Linked DNA regions of Styela clava. The main gene of each other region encodes a partner of the protein of the gene in region 2 in a complex. Links are inferred from orthologs where the notes say so. Each region holds a gene or a part of one and is shown on either strand. Other genes may lie near its edges.

Evidence for each region.
Region 1: phosphatidylinositol N-acetylglucosaminyltransferase subunit C-like (region 2) and phosphatidylinositol N-acetylglucosaminyltransferase subunit P-like share a complex: the UniProt entries of both Homo sapiens proteins name them as parts of the glycosylphosphatidylinositol-N-acetylglucosaminyltransferase (GPI-GnT) complex. The link is inferred for Styela clava from reciprocal best matches to the Homo sapiens genes PIGC and PIGP.

Annotation. Positions count from the first base shown.
Region 1 is NC_135253.1:15,185,700-15,196,218, forward strand, and holds phosphatidylinositol N-acetylglucosaminyltransferase subunit P-like, read right to left. Parts: upstream 4,263-10,519; coding exon 4,181-4,262; intron 3,407-4,180; coding exon 3,334-3,406; intron 2,696-3,333; coding exon 2,583-2,695; intron 2,121-2,582; coding exon 1,993-2,120; intron 1,615-1,992; coding exon 1,597-1,614; downstream 1-1,596. Other genes in the region: cytosolic endo-beta-N-acetylglucosaminidase-like, read right to left, coding at 185-379, 1,258-1,523. UniProt on the Homo sapiens protein: Part of the glycosylphosphatidylinositol-N-acetylglucosaminyltransferase (GPI-GnT) complex that catalyzes the transfer of N-acetylglucosamine from UDP-N-acetylglucosamine to phosphatidylinositol and participates in the first step of GPI biosynthesis.
Region 2 is NC_135250.1:6,446,239-6,455,671, forward strand, and holds phosphatidylinositol N-acetylglucosaminyltransferase subunit C-like, read left to right. Parts: upstream 1-5,905; 5' UTR 5,906-6,005; coding exon 6,006-6,899; 3' UTR 6,900-7,376; downstream 7,377-9,433. Other genes in the region: eukaryotic translation initiation factor 2 subunit 1-like, read left to right, coding at 7,398-7,635, 7,942-8,021, 8,458-8,618, 9,119-9,225, 9,345-9,433. UniProt on the Homo sapiens protein: Part of the glycosylphosphatidylinositol-N-acetylglucosaminyltransferase (GPI-GnT) complex that catalyzes the transfer of N-acetylglucosamine from UDP-N-acetylglucosamine to phosphatidylinositol and participates in the first step of GPI biosynthesis.

The DNA of each region.
Region 1 (10,519 bases), on a different chromosome or scaffold from region 2:
ATTGTTTCTTCGCTATATTTGCTGCTTGAATTCAGGTATCGCTGACTAGATGATGTTGCGACCCCTCCTCAATTGCTATGAATCAATGTTTTTCTGTTTCTGTTAGTTTTTGTTTTGTGCGTTAATTACTTTACTTTGATTCTTGCATGGTGAAAATAATTATCTAAATTTGAATCTGCCATACCTTTTACTAAATCCATTGAAACTCTCAGCAATAAAAGTACCCAGAACTGCAACACCATTAGTATGAGCACTGTTGATCCATCCCACAGGAGGAATAGTTACAAAATGGTGACTAAAATAAACGAATGTATCGACAATATCCCAGTATGCTAAGTAATACCATTTATCATCAGTACTGATTTTGCCTTGGACGAACCTAGAACAAAATTAAAAAGTATAAAAATGATGAATAGATAACATACATGGAAAGAATGCTTGTAAATTGACCATGGACTGCCATTTTTCATCAATTTGACTTGTCAGTCAACAACAATCACGTATTAGAATTAAATTTAAGTCGATTGCAAATCATTCTAAAGGGCTTTTATCAATGACCTCTGAAGATATATTGTAAATGAGAGAAAATTAACTAAACCTCATTGAGTAAAAATTCTTTAACTGTACAATTTCAGTGCCGGAGAATATATAGTTAATAATACCAGTGAAGAAAAATCTCACAGTTAGATAAATATATGATACCAGCCAATATTTTGTTGTCAAGGTAAAAAAGTGTCAGTTACAGAATTCTGTTGGCAAATGAAATAAAAGACCCAGCAAAATGCTGTTATAAATGGTAACTAACAACTGACTATTCATATTTCTCAGAAGTTTAATTTTAAATTAGAACAATCCATATTGCATACATATGTGATAAAATATGCGTTTCATCAACTTAACGAAACTTAACTTAAAATAGCCATCAATCTTTTTTGTGTCAATATTTTAATTATTTTATTTACTGGTAATAGTTATGGAAAACTGTAAGGTATGCGCGTCACAGTTCCATTACATTTGAACCCACGTACATTTGAACCCATGACAATTGCACCTGTATGCTATTGCACCTATGGAATTTTTTTTGTTTCACGGTTAGTTAAACCCATACTAACCCTAACCCATGGGTTTTAGCACCCGCATATAGATTGAACCCGTGGATATACGCATGGGTTCAAATGTACGGTCACCGCGCGTCACATTTGTTAGAATATACTTTTTTGATACATGAAGTTGAAACGATGATATATATAGGCCTACCTGTCATCCAAATATCCACCAGCCATGTCATGACATACAAGGGTTTTTGTTGATCCAGTTGGAATATTTTTCCCAAGATAAGGAACTGTAGCTACAGAGAATATCTGCCCACTATCTTCTGCATCGTCAGGTTTCCATGAAAGTAAATCTTCCAAATCATGCAAAGGAACTGAAACTGGTAAACCATCCTCCACACTTCTACCAGTAAATTGAGAAGGCTTTTCAAAATCAACATTCAGTAACTTCACTTCTTTAGATTCACTCATAATTTTCAATTATTTTTCTAGGAAAAACAAAATGAAAAAATTGTTTTACACTTGCGTGGCTGATATTATTTCTTTAACTAGCTGGTGACAGCTGAATACAGTAGAAGAAGAAACCTAGTAAATGCATGGATTTACTTTTGTTGACCAAGTGTACACAGCAATTCCAGAAGCTTGTAATAACATTATAAGAAGAAGTATTTGGCAAAAATCATAAAGTTTTTGTGGTGTATTCTTTAACAATAAAATACATATTTCTTCTGATCTGCCAGACAAGATCAGTGATGAAATTTGGAAATTGAACTACTTAAAACAACCCTTTTCAATGCATTCCATTTTTGCCTATTTCGACACACTTTATTCCTTTGATATGATGCAGCATTCAAGTACAGAAACCTTGTTTAAGAAGTATAAAATAAGACATGATTTCTAAACTAAAAATGCTGAGTAAAACAAAACAATCCCATCTTACTTTATCCTTGCCTAGATTCAAATGGCGACAAACAGTTGCCAGATCCAGTTCAACAATTGGTGGAACAGATCCTGAACTCAAGTCAAAGTTTTGTATTGTTGGTTCTGGGATATTTGATTTAGAGTGTACTAGAATAAATAAAAATGAATATACATAAATATAAAAATATTACAATATATCAAACAATTTATTAAAATTGATGAAAAAATTAAAATGGATTACTAAAACAAGTTTCCTATATTCGAATACTTTCTAAACGTTAAACCAAATCATGATTTAAATCATGCTGTATTGCTTGTTGCACTAGGCAATCATGATATGACAAACTAATCAATATAAGATAGTGTTTATCGAATGAAACATTCAAGCTATGACTAATTTGAAAAAAAAAACAGGTCGATCAGTCTTCTAATTTTACCTATAAAATGATAACTAATAATAAATAAGAGTATTAAAATACAATCAAACATTAAAACAATATATATCGGGATAATGTTAAGCTTCAATTTCTATAAACCACTAAAACCAGATTATTTTTCTAAAGCTATTCTTGGAAATATAAGTCAGAAAACAGGTAAAATAATATTTACTTTCAATTTCTTCTTCCAATGCTTGAGTATGAAGTATGTTGATGATGAAATATACAACAGGAATAGACACTGCACCGATGCAACCAAGGATTGGTAATACTATTGCCCAAGCTCTGAAAAAATCGGGTTGTAATAAATCAATAAGAAGAATGAATAAATGCATTGGGCAATATTGCATATTATTATGTTCATCTATCTCAAAATGACTCTATGCATCATCCGAGTACCATATAGAGTACTTTTTTTTATATTTTGATGGTCCTGATCAAAAATTCTTATACAAAAAGCATTTTTGTACTCGCATATATTTTTAAAATTTGTGTATAACTATGAGAGAAAAATAACATAATACGAATTATACAAGTATCATATCTTCCCAGGCCAAAGAAATCCTAAAAACAGCAGTATAAACTTATACATCTATTTTCAGCGCCTGGCAATTAGATGAACCAGAGTCTAACTATACTTAGCTTATACTACATAATGACAACTCAAAAAGAGGGATGGATACATGTTCCCAATTAACATTTGAACAACCTGCTCCGTACAAAAGGTTTGATTTTAGGACATACACATTCAAACTTTCTCCTCAGCTACAACTACAAAAAAACAGGTTGATCACAACATGAAATATAGGAATGAGTCACAAGCGAGATGTTACTAGGTTCAAAGTATTTTCATAAAGACTTGTTTTGACTTCCTACATTTTAAAAAGTTTAATGAGCAAATATATTTTAATTTTCATCCTTACTTGGTAGGAAGATAAGTTAGGCCAATACTGTGAAGGACTTCATCAGGAACATATGCCCATATCACAAACAGTGCTGAAAAATATACATCATTGTCATTATTATTTCTTTGTGGTATATTCACTTGATAACATGGACAAAAAACAACAACCAAGTAAACGATGGTCATTTGCTCATTAGAGATTCAAAAGCTAGCAGTTCATATCTTTGAAAAACCACACAGATATATGAAATGTCAAGGGGCCTTTGCTAAATTATTTCTTTAAATTAGCATATACAGATATATGAGACATTGTTAGAAAAAAGTCTTAAGCCAATTACTGTATTGGCGTAAGAGAGGAGAGCAAAAGGCAAATCCTATGGAAATGAAAGACATTTTCAAATTCATACTGAACAGACATCTGGAGAGAATTGCTTTTAATTGTCATAGTATTTCCCAAATACTTGTAAAGATGAGCGTTACACTTTAAGAAATGTGGAAAGCGTCCATTACATAAATCACATATATAAAATCTCATACTAGAAACAATACTACATTAAAACCATACACATGTGAATATTGTGGGAAGTCAGATTATTACAGTCAGATTATTACATTTGCCCAACCAAGAAAACAAACTGTGGCTATTAAGAATACACTATAAAATCCTCAGACATGAAAATTGTATTGTCATTTAGCAACCTTCAATATCGTAATACCGGTACATGATACAAAGAAGCACTAGGTTTTTTAAATTAGCAATGCTCATTCACTGATTCAAATATTTTTGTTTACATCTCTTTTGATCACCCTTTCCAGTTCAGCAGTTATGCAATCTCAGGACTGAAAAATAACTCTGACTCACTCACCGAATAAAATGTAGCTTGCTAGATAAAGGACAAATCCATACGCCGCTCTCTCCGGAGATGGACCTGGGCTTGGTTGAGGCATGAACTGATAAATAAAAGAGGCAAAAGCACCTAAAAACCGACGACGGCAGCAATATATGTAATTAATAATAAATACTACACAAAGTTGGACAACACTAAAAGGCTGAAAGAAGAAACGGATGAGGTGGAGGAAAAACGGAAGTTGAGGTGTTCCCAAACACTAAAAGGCTGAACACTAAAAGGAGGAAGTGGATGAAATTTCTTCCGACGGGTGGTGAGGTGTCTGAAGTCACTAAAAAGCAAAGCTGAACACTAAAAGGAAGAAGTGGATGAAATTTCTTCCGACGGATAATGAGGTGGTTGAAGTCACTAAAATGATGAACACTAAAAGGAAGAAGTGGATGAAATTTCTTCCGACGAATAATGAAGCGGTTGAAGTCACTAAAATGATGAACACTGAAAGGAAGAAATGGTTGAAATTTCTTCCGACGAATAATGAGGTGGTTGAAGTCACTAAAAAGCTGAACACTAAAAGGAAGAAGTGGATGAAATTTTTTCCGACGAATGATGAGATGGTTGAAGTCACTAAAAACATGAACACTAAAAGGAAGAAGTGGATGAAATTTCTTTCGACGAATAATGAGGTGGTTGAAGTCACTAAAAACATGAACACTGAAAGGAAGAATATAAGTATAAGTTTATTTCGACTCCATAATCAGCATAACAATACATTTGACAGATAAAAACAAATAAATAAAAACTGATTATGAAATCAGGGGAGCAAACAAAACCTTAGATAAGGTTTATAACGTACAAAATATAAGATGGAAGGTTTTGCCAAGAGGAAGTGGTACGTGTTTAATCACCTAAAATTATTAAGTTATTTCACACACGCTCACATGCACCCACCAGCCACACACACACACAACCAGTGAGAAGTTATTTAAGTAAGAATAAAACGCGATAAATTTAGGGTATACTATACAGTAAACAAAAAATAAAAAATAAATAAATACTAGAAAAGAAAAAAAAAATTATCTGCCACACCATATTGATATTTTTGTAATGGTTGCCAGAAGAAGTGGATGAAATTTCTTTCGACGAATAATGAGGTGGCGGAGGTCACTGAAAAGCTGAACACTAACAGGAAGAAGTGGATGAAATTTCTTCCGACGGATAATGAGGTGGTTGAAGTCACTAAAATGATGAAAACTAAAAGGAAGAAGTGGATGAAATTTCTCCCGACGAATAATGAAGCGGTTGAAGTCACTAAAAAGATGAATACTGAAAGGAAGAGGTGGTTGAAATTTCCTCCGACGAATAATGAGGTGGTTGAAGTTACTAAAAAGCTGAACACTAAAAGGAAGAAATGGTTGAAATTTCTTCCGACGAATAATGAGGTGGTTGAAGTCACTAAAAAGCTGAACACTAAAAGGAAGAAGTGGATGACATTTCTTCCGACCAACGACTCTTCCGACGAATAATGAGGTGGTTGAAGTCACTAACAAGATGAACACTAAAAAGAAGAAGTGGATGAAATTTCTTCCGAAGAATAATGAGATGGTTGAAGTCACTAAAAACATGAACACTAAAAGGAAGAAGTGGATGAAATTTCTTTCGACGAATAATGAGGTGGCGAAGGTCACTGAAAAGCTGAACACTAACAGGAAGAAGTGGATGGAATTTCTTTCGACAGGTGGTGAGGTGGCTGAGGTCACTAAAAAGCTAAACACTAAACGGAAGAAGTAGGCTACGGTAGATGATATTTTGTCCTATCGATTTTGAGGCGGTTGAAGTCACTAAAATACCGAACATTAGTAGAGTTAAATAGCCAAAACATATCCCGACGGAAGTGAGATTGGATGAAGACCCTGAAAGCGGACTGATGAGTAGGCATGCCACTTTTAGATTTATGAATTGAATCGATTCAAATCGCAATTCATTTCGAATCCGATTTACGCGATTCGAAAGAAAGAGAGCCGTTTAGCGAAGAAGAACAAACACTCCAAATAACACCAATTGCCAGACGGGAATGTAAATGAATTTTTCGTTATTTACTTCTATTGATCTGCCTTCGTTCATTTTCAAGTTCAGCGCAACACACCCTGATCATCACTCGAGATGCTGACGTGCTGTGTGGGTAATTAATTTCCTTCAATCTCTCAGTTGAGTTTTCCACTGAATGACCTAAGTTTCTATCACACGCAAATTTAAATGGATCGTATACCCGAAATTTCGTTGCGATTTTGTTAATAATTTGCAACAGCACACCTTCTCTGCGACTAAGTTATGGTACGCCTTGACATGAATTGATAAACGATCAGATACCGACTTCTAGAAAACATTTAATTTTGATTGAAATTTAATTTAAACTCCGTTGAGAGTGAAATATTTCGCGTATATATTTGAAGAGAACTATTACTGAACAAGTTCATTCGCCGGGCATGTAATTGACGATCATGTTTTTTTATCCTGACATTTATATTTATGCTATTTTATTCCCATTTGTTGTACCTCCATTTGAGTAGCGGTAAACGAAATGAGGGAACACGTGGTAGAACAGTTTTCGGTTGGAGGTTTACGGTTGGAGGTTTATTTTAAATGGTTTAATTACTTTTTTGTGTTCGAGCAAATTCCTGAAAGCATTTCTTATTTATAGTAATCCCGATGCAATTAAACTGTCTTTGTCTTATTACACTATGCTGCTAGCATGAATATATGCTCGGTATCTCCTTGTTTAGCAAGCTCTATCGCAATAATGAGCCCATATATCACAGAGATGACAGAGATCTGTGTGTACAAAGTTTTCCTTTATGTATAACCCAGAGTCACAAATTATTGTACTAATATTTTAGAGATGAAAAATCTGTAATGAGTCCAGCCTTAATTTAATATAACAATAAGTGAAATACCACAGTCACATATTCTGGGGTGGGACTGCGGGAACCAATGCTGTTACTGTTGCAGCACTGTTTAAGATGGTACAATAGAATTGTTTCCTGCGCTTATTTTCACAATTGAGTTGCATCAAATTGCTTCAGTCCTAAGGGGATGGTTGGTCAATACCGAATAGTTCACTATTTCGAATACATTCGAAAATAAAATAAAGTAATTGAGGCTTATCTATAGTAGCCTATATAAAGGAATTTGCATACAATAAACAATGGAATAACTGTCATCAACAGCACGTTGTCTACCATGCATTTCATGTTTGCAGATTACTGCTATATATTTTCATATACCATGAGTTACGTTATCAGAATTAAATTAATACGGCAAGCATTTAAAATAGTGCTATCGGTCATGGATTTGAACATTTTGCGCAACACAAAATCATCCTAGTAAAAGTTTGAATACCAACTATTATCCAAATTATTTGCCAAAAAGCGGGATAAAGTATAAATTATATTTCTGATTGGCGACAATTTTTTCGTGAGTACGTAAACACGAATGAAAAATTAATTATATTCGGGCACTTCAATGTCCGCATATATATCTTTTATTATTTTATAAATACGAAAATATGAATCAAGAATTAATTATAATCGGGCAGTTTACCACACATTTTTAAGTCCATGGATCGCCGTTGTATTTTGTATATACGAAAATAGGAATAAAAAAATAAATAACAATCGCGCAGTTGACCACACATCTATGTACATAGATTGCCGTGGTATTGTGCCCGAATATAATTAATTTTTGATTCCGTATTTCATTCCTTAAACTTAATATCTATTTTTAAAATTTTGCAAGCAGTTCACGCACGAAGACTTGAAATAATGATGTATTAGTCAAATTGAAGTCCTGTTAGACCACTGGTTCTTAACCAATGTGCCATGGCCAACTGGTAAGCCTCAGAGCCATTTTGAGGTGGGCCACAAACATATTATGAATTACAAGGTTTGTTGACTGGAAAAATTGATTTGATAACAAAATCAGCTTCACGCGTCTTGAAAAACAAGATATCTATTTGCAAAATATGCCTCGCCGTAACCCACCCATTGTGGCGCAACAAATTCATTATACGGCAGTAACAGCTAGAAATGAGTATATATATATAGCAATTTGCTTGCACATTACATCAAAATTAAAAACAATATAACGAGAATGTCATGGCCTTCAATATTCGCCAGGCTCGAACTGAGAATACCATATAAAAAATTAACATAAAACGAATCCACGAGGACATTGTCTCATAAATATTAAACTAATATATTAAATTTTCTTCACTATCCGTCGGAGGAAATTTCATCCACTTCTTCCTTTTAGTGTTCAGCTTTTTAGTGACTTCAGCCACCTCGGAAGAAATTTCTTCCACTTCTTCGTTTTAGTGTTCAGCCTTTTAGTGTTTTTCAATTTTTCACCTTTGGGAACACTTCAACTTCCGTTTTTCCGCCACTTCGTCCGTTTCTTTCTTCAGCCTTTTAGTGTTGTCCCACAAAGTTTGCTGTAAAATCCCACTCAGCAAAATATTAGTGTGCCTATCGTAAAAATTAATTAGGCCGTGACAAGTCACGCTATGCGACAGGGGATCAAATCTCATCAATATTTCCTTTGGGAACACTGCGGAAACGTACCGTATTTTTGCTTACACGTAGTCGGTTGGTTAGTTGCTGTTCACATTGGCGATATGCTATAGTGGTGGTAGCATAAAAGTCATATTGGGGATGGCAGAATAGGGATGGCGAAATACGGTCGAAAGGTGGCAGATTAGGGATGGCGAAATAGGGACGAAAAGTCAAATTGGGGATGGCAAAATGCGGTCGAAGCGTGGCAGATTAGGGATGGCGAAATGCGGTCGAATGGTGGCAGATTAGGGATGGCAAAATGCGGTCGAAGCGTGGTGGCAGATTAGGGATGGCAAAATGCGGTCGAAGCGTAGTGGCAGATTAGGGATGGCAAAATGCGGTCGAATTGTGGAGCAGACTAGGGATGGCGACGTTTGAGAAAGTGAAGGGCATGGTGTCAGTGTTACCGTACCGTACATCGGTACCGTACGAACATTTTAAGGTTCTTAAGTTTAGCATGTAGCCTGAATGTACCTGCATATGCCAGGATACGGTAATACAGTAATAGGTACGGTATGTACCGTAGTGAGTACGGTACCGGTACCGGTATGTGGCCCATTACCGGTACATCATTAATCTGTTAATGCTAATCCAGTCCTTGGCGGCATGGGCAGCGTAGAGAATGGCAGTAGACAGAAAATAAGAGATTTAACATTCTTCTGGTTCAAATTAGGCTACTCTGGCAATTGTTTTGGTGGTAATTACAAGGACAGACCGGTACCGTACCAAGACTTGGACTTTTAATTAATATGGTAACGGTAGACTACCGGTACGGTACCGTATCATTGGACTACGGTACCGGTATGCCTTTGCGGTGGAATTATTGTGTGGCAAGATGTAGGCACGAACACGGTATGTCAAATTGGTACTGGTAACATTGCAGCATTGTGTGGAGCAAGCGATAAACTAAAAAGTGAAACTGCTAAAGCCATTTGACTGTTTGAGTGAACTCCGCAGACCTAAGCAAAAAGTTAATATGCATTCTAACCATTTGATATATTTAATTGCTGAATTGTCTCAAATTAGCCGTGGTGTGGCTCATCATGCTAAGCCTGCGAGCGGAATAAGCTTGGCATCGCACCTCTTATTACTTACACTATGTCAGTCTGTGTAGGTTCGCAGGGTAAATGTGGAGATTGTTAGGAATACGCTCGTCACCCCATGGTTATGTGCGAGAGGATTACTGGACTCCTCGTCGCAGTTGGGTGGTTCACATAACTCATGTAACTGCTGGTCGGTTACAGCTTCCTCCACCATCTGGTCCATTATCTCTCTCCTGGGATAGATATGTAGATCCTATCGTTAGTCCGAGCGAGACACATGTCATGTCAATTAACTGTAGTAAAAGCCCCGAACTTCCAATTCCATTATAAAATTTGATCGTAAATGACATTAAGTCTATAATGACTACTTGAAACTCTGTCAAGTATTTTGATATAATTTCAGATATGAAGATTAAGGTTATCTAGTCTTTAGGGATATTGCTGCAATGACTGAAGTGAGTCTATTTGTGCCAGAAAGGGGATCAAGAACTTTATAGTTTGCACTTTCAACAAGAGAGCGATGCTCAAATATATGGACATGCAGCCTGAGCGAAGCAGTAGTCCAGCTTACCTTTGACGGTTCGCTAAACACTAGAAGCACCAATGTTCGCTGACCTCGTGACTCGCTGCGCATGATGAACCGCCACATGGTGGCAATTTTTGATGAGGTCATAGCAAAAACAAAAGAAATGAATTCCATGCAGCTC
Region 2 (9,433 bases):
ATATTAACCCGCAACACAACTTGTTACCTATGGTGCAGAGGTTTCGATTATAATAATACTTCCAGAGTATGATTACACGTTCACAAAGTCGAGAGTTAACATTTGTATCTTTCGTAAACGATGGAAAACTGTCTAATTTTATATTTGAAAAATGTTGCATAAATGAATAAACTCGTTGAAACGTACATATGTTGTCACAATACTCACTTAGCGGACTTGGGTGAAAGTATAACTCGGGAACCCAATTCACAAAAAATACGGAATATTACCTAAAACAATTTATGAGAGAGAAGGGGAAGAGCAGAGGCGTATCCAGAAATTTTCAAAAGGGGGGGGGGGGGGTGATTCTAAAATTTCTATTTGCCAAGTTAGATCGAAACAGCCAGCGAGTCCGGACAAAATCCGGAAAACACGTGTTTTCATGAAGCTTGAGGATCTAAAAATTGCTATGTATTATTAAGAGAGATGCTTTTATTTATTTTTACATTTAAAAAAAGGAGGGGGGAGGATCTGCGAATAAAGAGAGGGACATATGGTTTATCCTGTTTATCATAGTCAAGTTTATTTTTATCAGCTATAGGCCGCGAGCCGAGGCCATTTATCTTTCAGTTTCGTAGCGCACATCAGGTAACTACCTGAAAATGATTTTAAAATGTTCCTTAGAAATTTAGTAACAAATATTGCCTTGTTCCCACTTCCAAAAGTTGCACGTTTTACAGAAAAGACGCTTTTACTACAATAAATATGTGTTACCATCTGTCCTATTTTCTCTGCTTTTCCGGTATCATGGGCCAATGAACGCAGACTTATGCACGACGTAACAGTCAAGTTAGTCAGCTGTAGGTGGATCCCCAGTGGTCGGATGAATATCAGATGTACTCAACTGCTCGCTTTTGCGTTGAGTAGCCTTTCCATAGTTTTTTTCAGTTACCGGTAATATTAGTCCAGTTATTCTGGTAAGATGAATTGCTGGATAATACTGGATGATGTTTACAAATATATTTGTTTATTATATGTAACTATGTTCTATGATTATTATTTTTTCATCATTTATTTATTTTTACAAAACTGTTATGAATCCACAACGTGGACCTTTAAAAAAAAAAAAAAAAAGAAAAGTATAGGTAAGATATTAAACACTTGTATATCCTTGCCATAAATAGCAATTTTAGTTGAGCACTAGCTCATAAGACGTTGTTAAATAGGTACGGTGCGGTAACTCCAAGGAAGGCTAGACCTAGAATAATATGTCACAAACAACGATATTTTCTGGCTTGCATGAAATGTTTATGATTAATTTAATGACTCTTCTTGACTATTCAGCAGACTTATATTACTATATAGGCCACAGCATATTTGGAAATAGAAATGAATGGCTGTTTCTGTAATGCACGGTTGTGTGAAAGAGAAGAAATTAATCAATTTTACTAATGTCGGTTGGTCTAAATCTAAATTCATTGAGTCGACAAGAACCTGGGAAGCAATGATAAGTTATGCTGGAGTGGAAAGAAAGGTAGCATTGGAAATGATTGAGAGGTGAGAAATGAAGTTGTAGACAAACAGTTGATGTTTCAAAATATACCGTAGTCTATAGTCCATACTCATACTGTCAAAGGACATTTCAGACTGTGATATATCAAAATCTAGTGTAGATATAGTCTAGTAATGGTATGCAAACACTGCTGGACTGTAGAACATGCAATGAGCATATATACGCTCATTTAGTACATCAGATAAAATGCATTATGTATTCAAGGTATTAGTTAGTATTTAGGGGTATTTTTAAAATCATGCTGCTCCAAATATTATTTTCTTCCTTATTTTAGATACTGTACTACAAAAGAAAACGGCAATGTTCCACCAATCCGACCTAACGCAGGCTCTGATCCCTGCTGCTATCAGTGCTATAAAATGGATTAAACAAGAAGTCTTGAAGCTTAAAGGTATATGAGAATCATAATAGTTGCAAACAGCTTAGATGGGCTATTCATATTGAAATACTTTAGCACTTTTCTGCAATTGGAATTGCCCATCAAATTCATGTTGGAGACTTCATTGAGATTTTCAATTCATTTTTTTCCCTCGACTATGAAGATCTTTTGAGGTTAACGAGGTATTAATAAATAAAGCTGAGGAATTTGAAGAGGATATGAAGAATGTAAATGATACCAGGGCACGTCTATTTAACACTGTCAAACATAAGGATTATACTCTCCACCCAACAATGATTCACTGAAGAAGCATGTGGCCCTCAAATCAGTTCTTGAGTTGGCAAACTGCAAAGAAAAATAGTCAAAATAATTTATGAAAGTGTGCCAAAATCAACTTAAATTGCACAGATTTTTGTTTTTGTATTGACTGCAGAAATCACAGTACACCTATAGAGGAAAAGTCGATTTTTGAGATAGTGGATTTCGAAAACAATTCAGAAGAAAGTGAATTAGATATTACAGTTGATTTAATAAGTATCATACATTTGTTTTTTTTTTCGGACATTTGTTAGTGTCGTAGTCCTGTTTCTAGAAATATTATTGCCTTTGTTCAAATACATAACCACATAAACTAAAAAAAGATTAATTGTAAATTGTAATATTTCTGTTCACTATGTTATGTACATATTGTACATTCATTTAATTTTCTTGACTTTTGCGGTAAATTTCTAAGTGAGAAATAACTGATTTATTTGTGTTTTCGTGCTCACGATGTTAATTTGTGACTTCATTGCTTAAAAATAAATACGTTTGATACTTGATAGCTTCTATAAAATGGATGTAGCTTTTTATGCTGTTCTTGTTGTAAACTGCTTGTGGTTATTACATAAAATTTATTCTCAAATGTGAATCAGCGTTGTTGGTGTCGCTGCTTTCGAGGTCACTCCCGACTCCTGTCACACAATTAAAGTATTTTTTGTTGTTGGTTACATGTATGCCATATTTTTCGTAATCTACCTAATAAATTATGATTGACTGAGGAAGTCCGATTTTGGTCAGGCAAAACATTACAGGAATACATTTGTGTTAGTGTGCTGTAGGGCTCTCGAATTGTATAGTTCTTATGTATGCGTTGTAAACTTATGGTTATTGAATTTCCGGGAACCTCTTATATTCAATTTCGCACCAGGATTGTGGAACAAGCTGTAATGCGTTCATTATGTTCGTTTTCACACAAAACTGAAGAATTTATTTAGTTACCAGATGTGCGCTACGAAACTCATTTTCTGGGCGTTTTCATGGTTTCGTCTCGCGGCCCATATCCGTGGTAAGGATCTACAAGTGTTTAATAATTTACTTATACATTTTTCAACAACGTCTTAGCATAACTTAACTAATAATAACTAAACAGGGCTATGGAAAGCCTGCCCAACTCAGCGCAAGGTCGAGCAGAAATAACTAATATTCATCCGCTCGCTAACAGCTGGTTTAATTCAATTGTTACGTCATGCAGAAGTCATTGTTCAGTGCCGAAAATGTAGAGAATATAGGACAGATCGTAGCGCATATTTCTTGTAGTAAAAGCGTCTTTTCCGTAAAACGTGCAACTTTTGGAAGTGGGAACAAGGCAATATTTGTTACTAAATTTTTAGGGAACATTTTAAAATCATTTTCAGGTAGTTACCTGATGTGCGCTACGAAACTCACTTTCTAGGCGTTTTTCAGGGCCTCGGCTCGCGGTCTACTAGTGATATAATCACAACAAAACTACGATAACAAAATAAACGCAAGGTTTTCCCGATGAAGGGGCGCCGCGTGGGACCGTTCCCGAATTTTGTGCAGCGACGTCCAAAGTTCCAATATCTAATTTAGATTCAACAGGAATTTTTTGTTATCAGAGTACTGATATTGAACACAAAGTGCGACTTTGGACCATTTCGCTAAATATTCGATGCTGCTGTTAACACGTGCAGGAGGTGACTGGTCTTATTGAAGCGAGTGAAACCAAAACAACTGGTTAATATAAGCAGGGCCGGATCATGCCGCTTAGGAGCCCCAGGCACTTAATACTTTGGGCCCTATTTATATAAAATGATAATAATGAAAACTAGTGTTCCATGTTTTCTGAATATGTTTCAGTATTCACTACCACGGTACTAATTAAAGCTAAGTTATGATTAATCTACATGGTATTTTTTGAAAATAATTCTCTTGCCTACAAACATTTATAGAGAGGTGTAAGCTGGTACTTGAAAAAGAGAAAATAATCAAGTTATTAAACCGAGACAATATTGAGGTCTGAATCGTCTTACCAACTCGAATTACATTAAACACTGAGATAGCCAGTTCGTGAAAACTTCTGTGGTGCATCCTTTCTCGTGGTGACCTTATTTTGATCAATGTTTAGTCCAACCCTGAATATAGGTAAACAGACATAGCCGTACAGTACTTGCAAGATCTAGATACATAGGCGTAGTTAGTGGAATACTGCAAGCAACCAACAGTTGCGCGAACTACACGGAAAATATTTGATTGAGATCTACAGGTTTCAAAATGTAACCGTACTGCCGTAAATAGCTGATCACAAATAACACTTCATTATCGCTGTCGAATTCAAAATCCAATTTTTACATGTGATATGTCGATTAACAATTTATTTGAGCACATCTCTCGATCTTTGCTCAAACGTTCTCATCATACAACTTCTTGGGGACACTCAAATTTCAGACGGCATTTCGACAGCAAGAGGGGAACGCAGCATCTCGCCGCAGTATGGTTACCAGCATGTCGTGCTCGGAGTTGTTTTCTTATAGTACAACGAGTGGAAATGTCAGGTCGCATGAAAATCCATTTTTATTTCCCAACTTAGATTAGACTTTTTTAAAGGTGTTGCTGCTCGATGATACGACTGGTTTATTGCACTCCCCTGCACCACGAAACGACATTTTTAGTTTATTCTATAATCTGTAGGCGCAAATATTCAGTAAATGGTCAAATAAATTGTTTACTACTAATTATCATTTTTTTGTCGTAGGTACACAAATTTGCAAAAGAGCATTTAAGTCTATGCTTCCAAAAATAAACTAGCTAACAAGTTCCATACTCGACATGGATTGGTAACCGGACGAGAGGCCGTGGTCCGCCATATGATTGAGCCGTCTTATCGGCTCTCCTCTTCCCCAGGATAAATATGTAAATCCTATCCTTTCCAGTGATGGGGTGCCAAACAGAAAAAAAGGATGAAATCCAGAGGAAGAAGAAATTTGACGAGTCAGCGTTAACATAACCCAAATCGGGAATAGGAAGAGTTCATCAGGTAATTGATTTGAGCGTATTTGAATGGCGCGAAGCCTTAACCACTTGCGAGGGTGAGAAGTCTGGCAATCCCCTCGCGCATAATTATGACGATTGGGTTTGTAATGCGATGACAATTGTGTTTCTTTGCGGTAACCGCCAGACCCAAAAAAGTTGACGGATTTTTTTGTCAAAAGATTTGGGTGTCGCTTACGGTGTAAATAAGAAGCGATCGCCGGATCCGGATCTCGAGCATCATTCACCCCTAACATGTGTGGACTGTAGAGTTTTTGGTGTTTCGTGTTGGTGTTTGCGCCATCGCCCATCATGGTGAACCATCATAGAGCAAATTCGCTCAACTTTGTGGTTAGTCTGTGCCGCTGTATGACTAAACGAGTTCTATTTGTTTTAATCAACCGTTTTATCGCCGTTTATGCTGAGTATGGAGTTGAAATAAACTTATCTTATCGTCCACCATGTACGGTACCGGTATCTGAAACTGTAGAACAAATACCGGTACCTACCGTACCGGCTAACTAATCCATACCTACTGGTACCGGTACCGTCAGACCGTACGATACGATATTTTGTTTGTAATGGCCCGCCACTGGGCTATAAACAGATAAAAGAACAGGTTCCTCAGATAAATTTGTTCATAGATTGTCTTGTATGTGCTTATTATTACAGTACCGGTATTGAGCCATTGTTATTATAAATTTCAGTTTTAACCTATTCATAGAGTAATATTGATTTTGGCTGTTGATATAAGCGTGTTCAAGAATGACAACTAATCGCAAAAAATGGAGAAAAGTATTGTACGAAGTTCAAAATGTTCCAGACAATTATGTGGATGAGTCTTTCCTCACGGAAATGCGAAAGAACATCTACATCAGAAAATATGAATATTGGGATCTCGTTCGTCAAATTGAAGTCATTACTCAACAACTTTGTACAGTCAGCTGTTTAATCGTTAGCTGGTGGTTACTCGATGAAGGCCTATATACTCCATATACTATGTTAAAATGGCTGATGCCTGTTTCAGTAATAGGCTTCTGCGTGTATTTATATTTAACAACGAGCCAGGGTGAGAGATGGAAAGCGTTATTTAGTAATGCTAAAACAGCAGTTGTTGTATTGTGTTTAACTGATTTTTTATCTCCGATATTAAAAACGTTGACGCACACTATTAGTACTGATACGATATATGCAATGAGTGTTCTAATGATTTTAGGACATTTACTGTTTCATGACTATGGGTCTGATGCTGCGCCAATTTCTAGAGCTGTATCGTTAAATATGTCATTGTTTTCGTCAGTATGTCTTGCGTCTCGATTGGATTCTTCGGAGCATGTATTCGCTATTGTTATTTTAGCGTTATTTCTTTTTGGATTTTGGCCCATGTTACAAAGAACATTAAGGCGTGAAACTCCGTGGTTTATGGATCCCTTTACTGTTTTATTGAGTATAGCAACGTTTTTGTTACTACTTTTTATTCATTTGTATATAAGTCTCTTATTTCTACTTCTAATTGTTTTTGTTAATTTCATCTGTCCTCTATTGTTGATGTCTCTTCAAATTCATAAAAATAATATTTATGGACCTTGGGATGAAGCAGTAATTGACCCGGATAGTCCTCGGATATTTACGGAAAAGAAATCATTCAAAAAAGAATAGTTTGTCAGCTTCTTATTCTGTGATATTATAATTTTTGTTTTTTAAATATTTATTGAAATGAATTTGGTTGAAAAAGTTTCATTCAGAAAATTTTATCGATGTATAGTTTTTGATTGTACAAACTGTTTATGTATCGATTGTTCGAAAAGAAGTGTCACGTCTCTTTAATTAAGAATTGTTTCAAATGTGAAGATATGTTTATATTGTTCGGTTCATAGATTCCATTTGTATGTCTATATGCAAAAGAATTACTGTAGACATATTTGTTGTTTTTTCCAGGTTGCGTCACATAACCACTGACTTAGCTCTAGTCTGTTGAACAGACAAAAGGCCACAGTTTGCCATATGATTTGAGTCCCTGGGATAAATATGAAAAAGTGTATCATATGCTTGACTATTGGTTAATCTATATAAGAGAATTTTATTCAAGTTTTATGTTTTTAATTGTTTTTATTTGAATTGTATATTTTTATATAGTTGTTAGCAAATTAACTCAAAATGCCGATCTCGTGTCGATATTATAAGGATAAGTTTCCGGAGGTTGAAGATGTTGTCATGGTGAATGTTCGATCCATCGCAGAGATGGGAGCTTACGTTAAATTGCTTGAATACAATAACATTGAAGGAATGATATTGCTTAGTGAATTGTCGAGACGTCGTATTCGATCTATCAATAAGTTGATTCGTGTCGGTCGTGATGAATGTGTCGTTGTTATAAGAGTAGATAAAGAAAAAGGTAGGGAGTTTCGTGCGATTGTTAATAAATAAGATTCAATGAAATTTATGTATTTGCAAATTTCAATATCCGATTCAAAACGAAATAGGCGAAAATGTGTTCTTTTTGTTGTTTATCGTCTTATAGTACTGACATTTTGATTATCAACTTTTGTGTCTTATAGATAGAAAAGTTATATTTTTGAAGATCACGATTTGTCATAGTATTTAACAAAAATTGCTGGATTAGCATTATTGCAATGCTATTGTTGCCTTTTTATCTTTTGATATATTGTGATTATTTTATAATAATTTGCTACTTTTTCAGGTTACATTGATTTATCAAAAAGAAGAGTTTCACAAGAAGAAGCAAAAAAATGTGAAAATAAGTATTCAAAAGCAAAATGTGTAAGTAGTGTTTCAGTGTTAATTCTGTAGCAGGAATATTGTTATTCAATAATTTAACGCTCACTAGGATTTACTTACTACTCTTACGGCATGTTAATTAAGAGGTATACAGCGATATTTGTTGATATACTAGATGTCTAGTATTTTCATCTAGTTTAGAATTTATGTTTGGTCATGCTAGGTATAAGAAAGTATTCATATTGCGGTCTTCATTATATATTTTGAATCATCATTATATATTCCATGATCTGGTGGATTTCTGAATTTTATCGATGTCTTTTGGGAAATAAGGCATCAACTTTATTTCATATGCTTGTAAGTTGAAACTATATGTGAAACAACATTTTGACCAGAGCTAGTGCTCAACTTATCAAACTTTTTTAGTAAATTTTGAAACATGTAATGAAAGCAAAAAAATAAAAATTTTTTAATACAGGTTTACAGCATTCTTCGTCATACTGCTGAACTTCTAGGTTTTCAGACAGATGAAGATTTTGAAGATTTATTTGACCGAACAGCCTGGGCGTTGGATACAAAATATAAGAGACCAACTGAAAAATATCCTGCTTCATATGATCTATTTAAGAGAGCTATAGAGTAAATGCCAATCTTTTTGCATAATTGTACCTATGTACCTCTCTATGTGTAATTGATTTCTGTGAAATTTTGCATTTGTGCCACGAAAAGTTCGGATTATCAATCTGAATCTTATAGAGCTTGTACCTTGCTCATGAAATTTCCAATACTCCCTCTTCAAGGCCACCACGATTGTCCATATTAGAATGGTTTGATATTCTACTTTTTGTCACAAAAAGATGAAACAAAACAATTTTTTTTCTGAAAAAATAGACTTAAGTAATGATTTCGCAAATTTGCAATAGATTTGATAAAAAAAAGCAGCCATCTCATTAGTTTTAACAAAATTCTTTGATATCGATATTCCTTGGCATTTAAGTCTCAAGTATATTGTCATATATTATGCAAAAATAAATCTACATATAGACTGTTGTAATATGTCATCTGTTCCTTTTACACCTCTCAATCTGCTTTTGTTGAAGACTTTCCAAAAAAAATAAAAAATACCATCAATTTTATAGTGAACCACAAGTTCTTGATGAACTCCAATTATCAGAAGAAGAGAAATCAGTTTTGATGAAAAATATTAGGAGAAGGTTGACTCCGCAAGCAATGAAAATTCGATCAGGTATATTTTGATATCTGGTTATTGATGACCTTCCTGGCAGTTACATATTCCAAGTTTTATCTCAATTCCCTCTCCGTATTGGTCACTGAACAATCTTTGAATTTTTTTTTTTCTAACAGATGTTGAAGTATCTTGCTATACATATGAAGGAGTAGATGCAGTGAAAAATGCTCTTTTGAAAGGAATTGATTGTTCTACTGAAGAACAT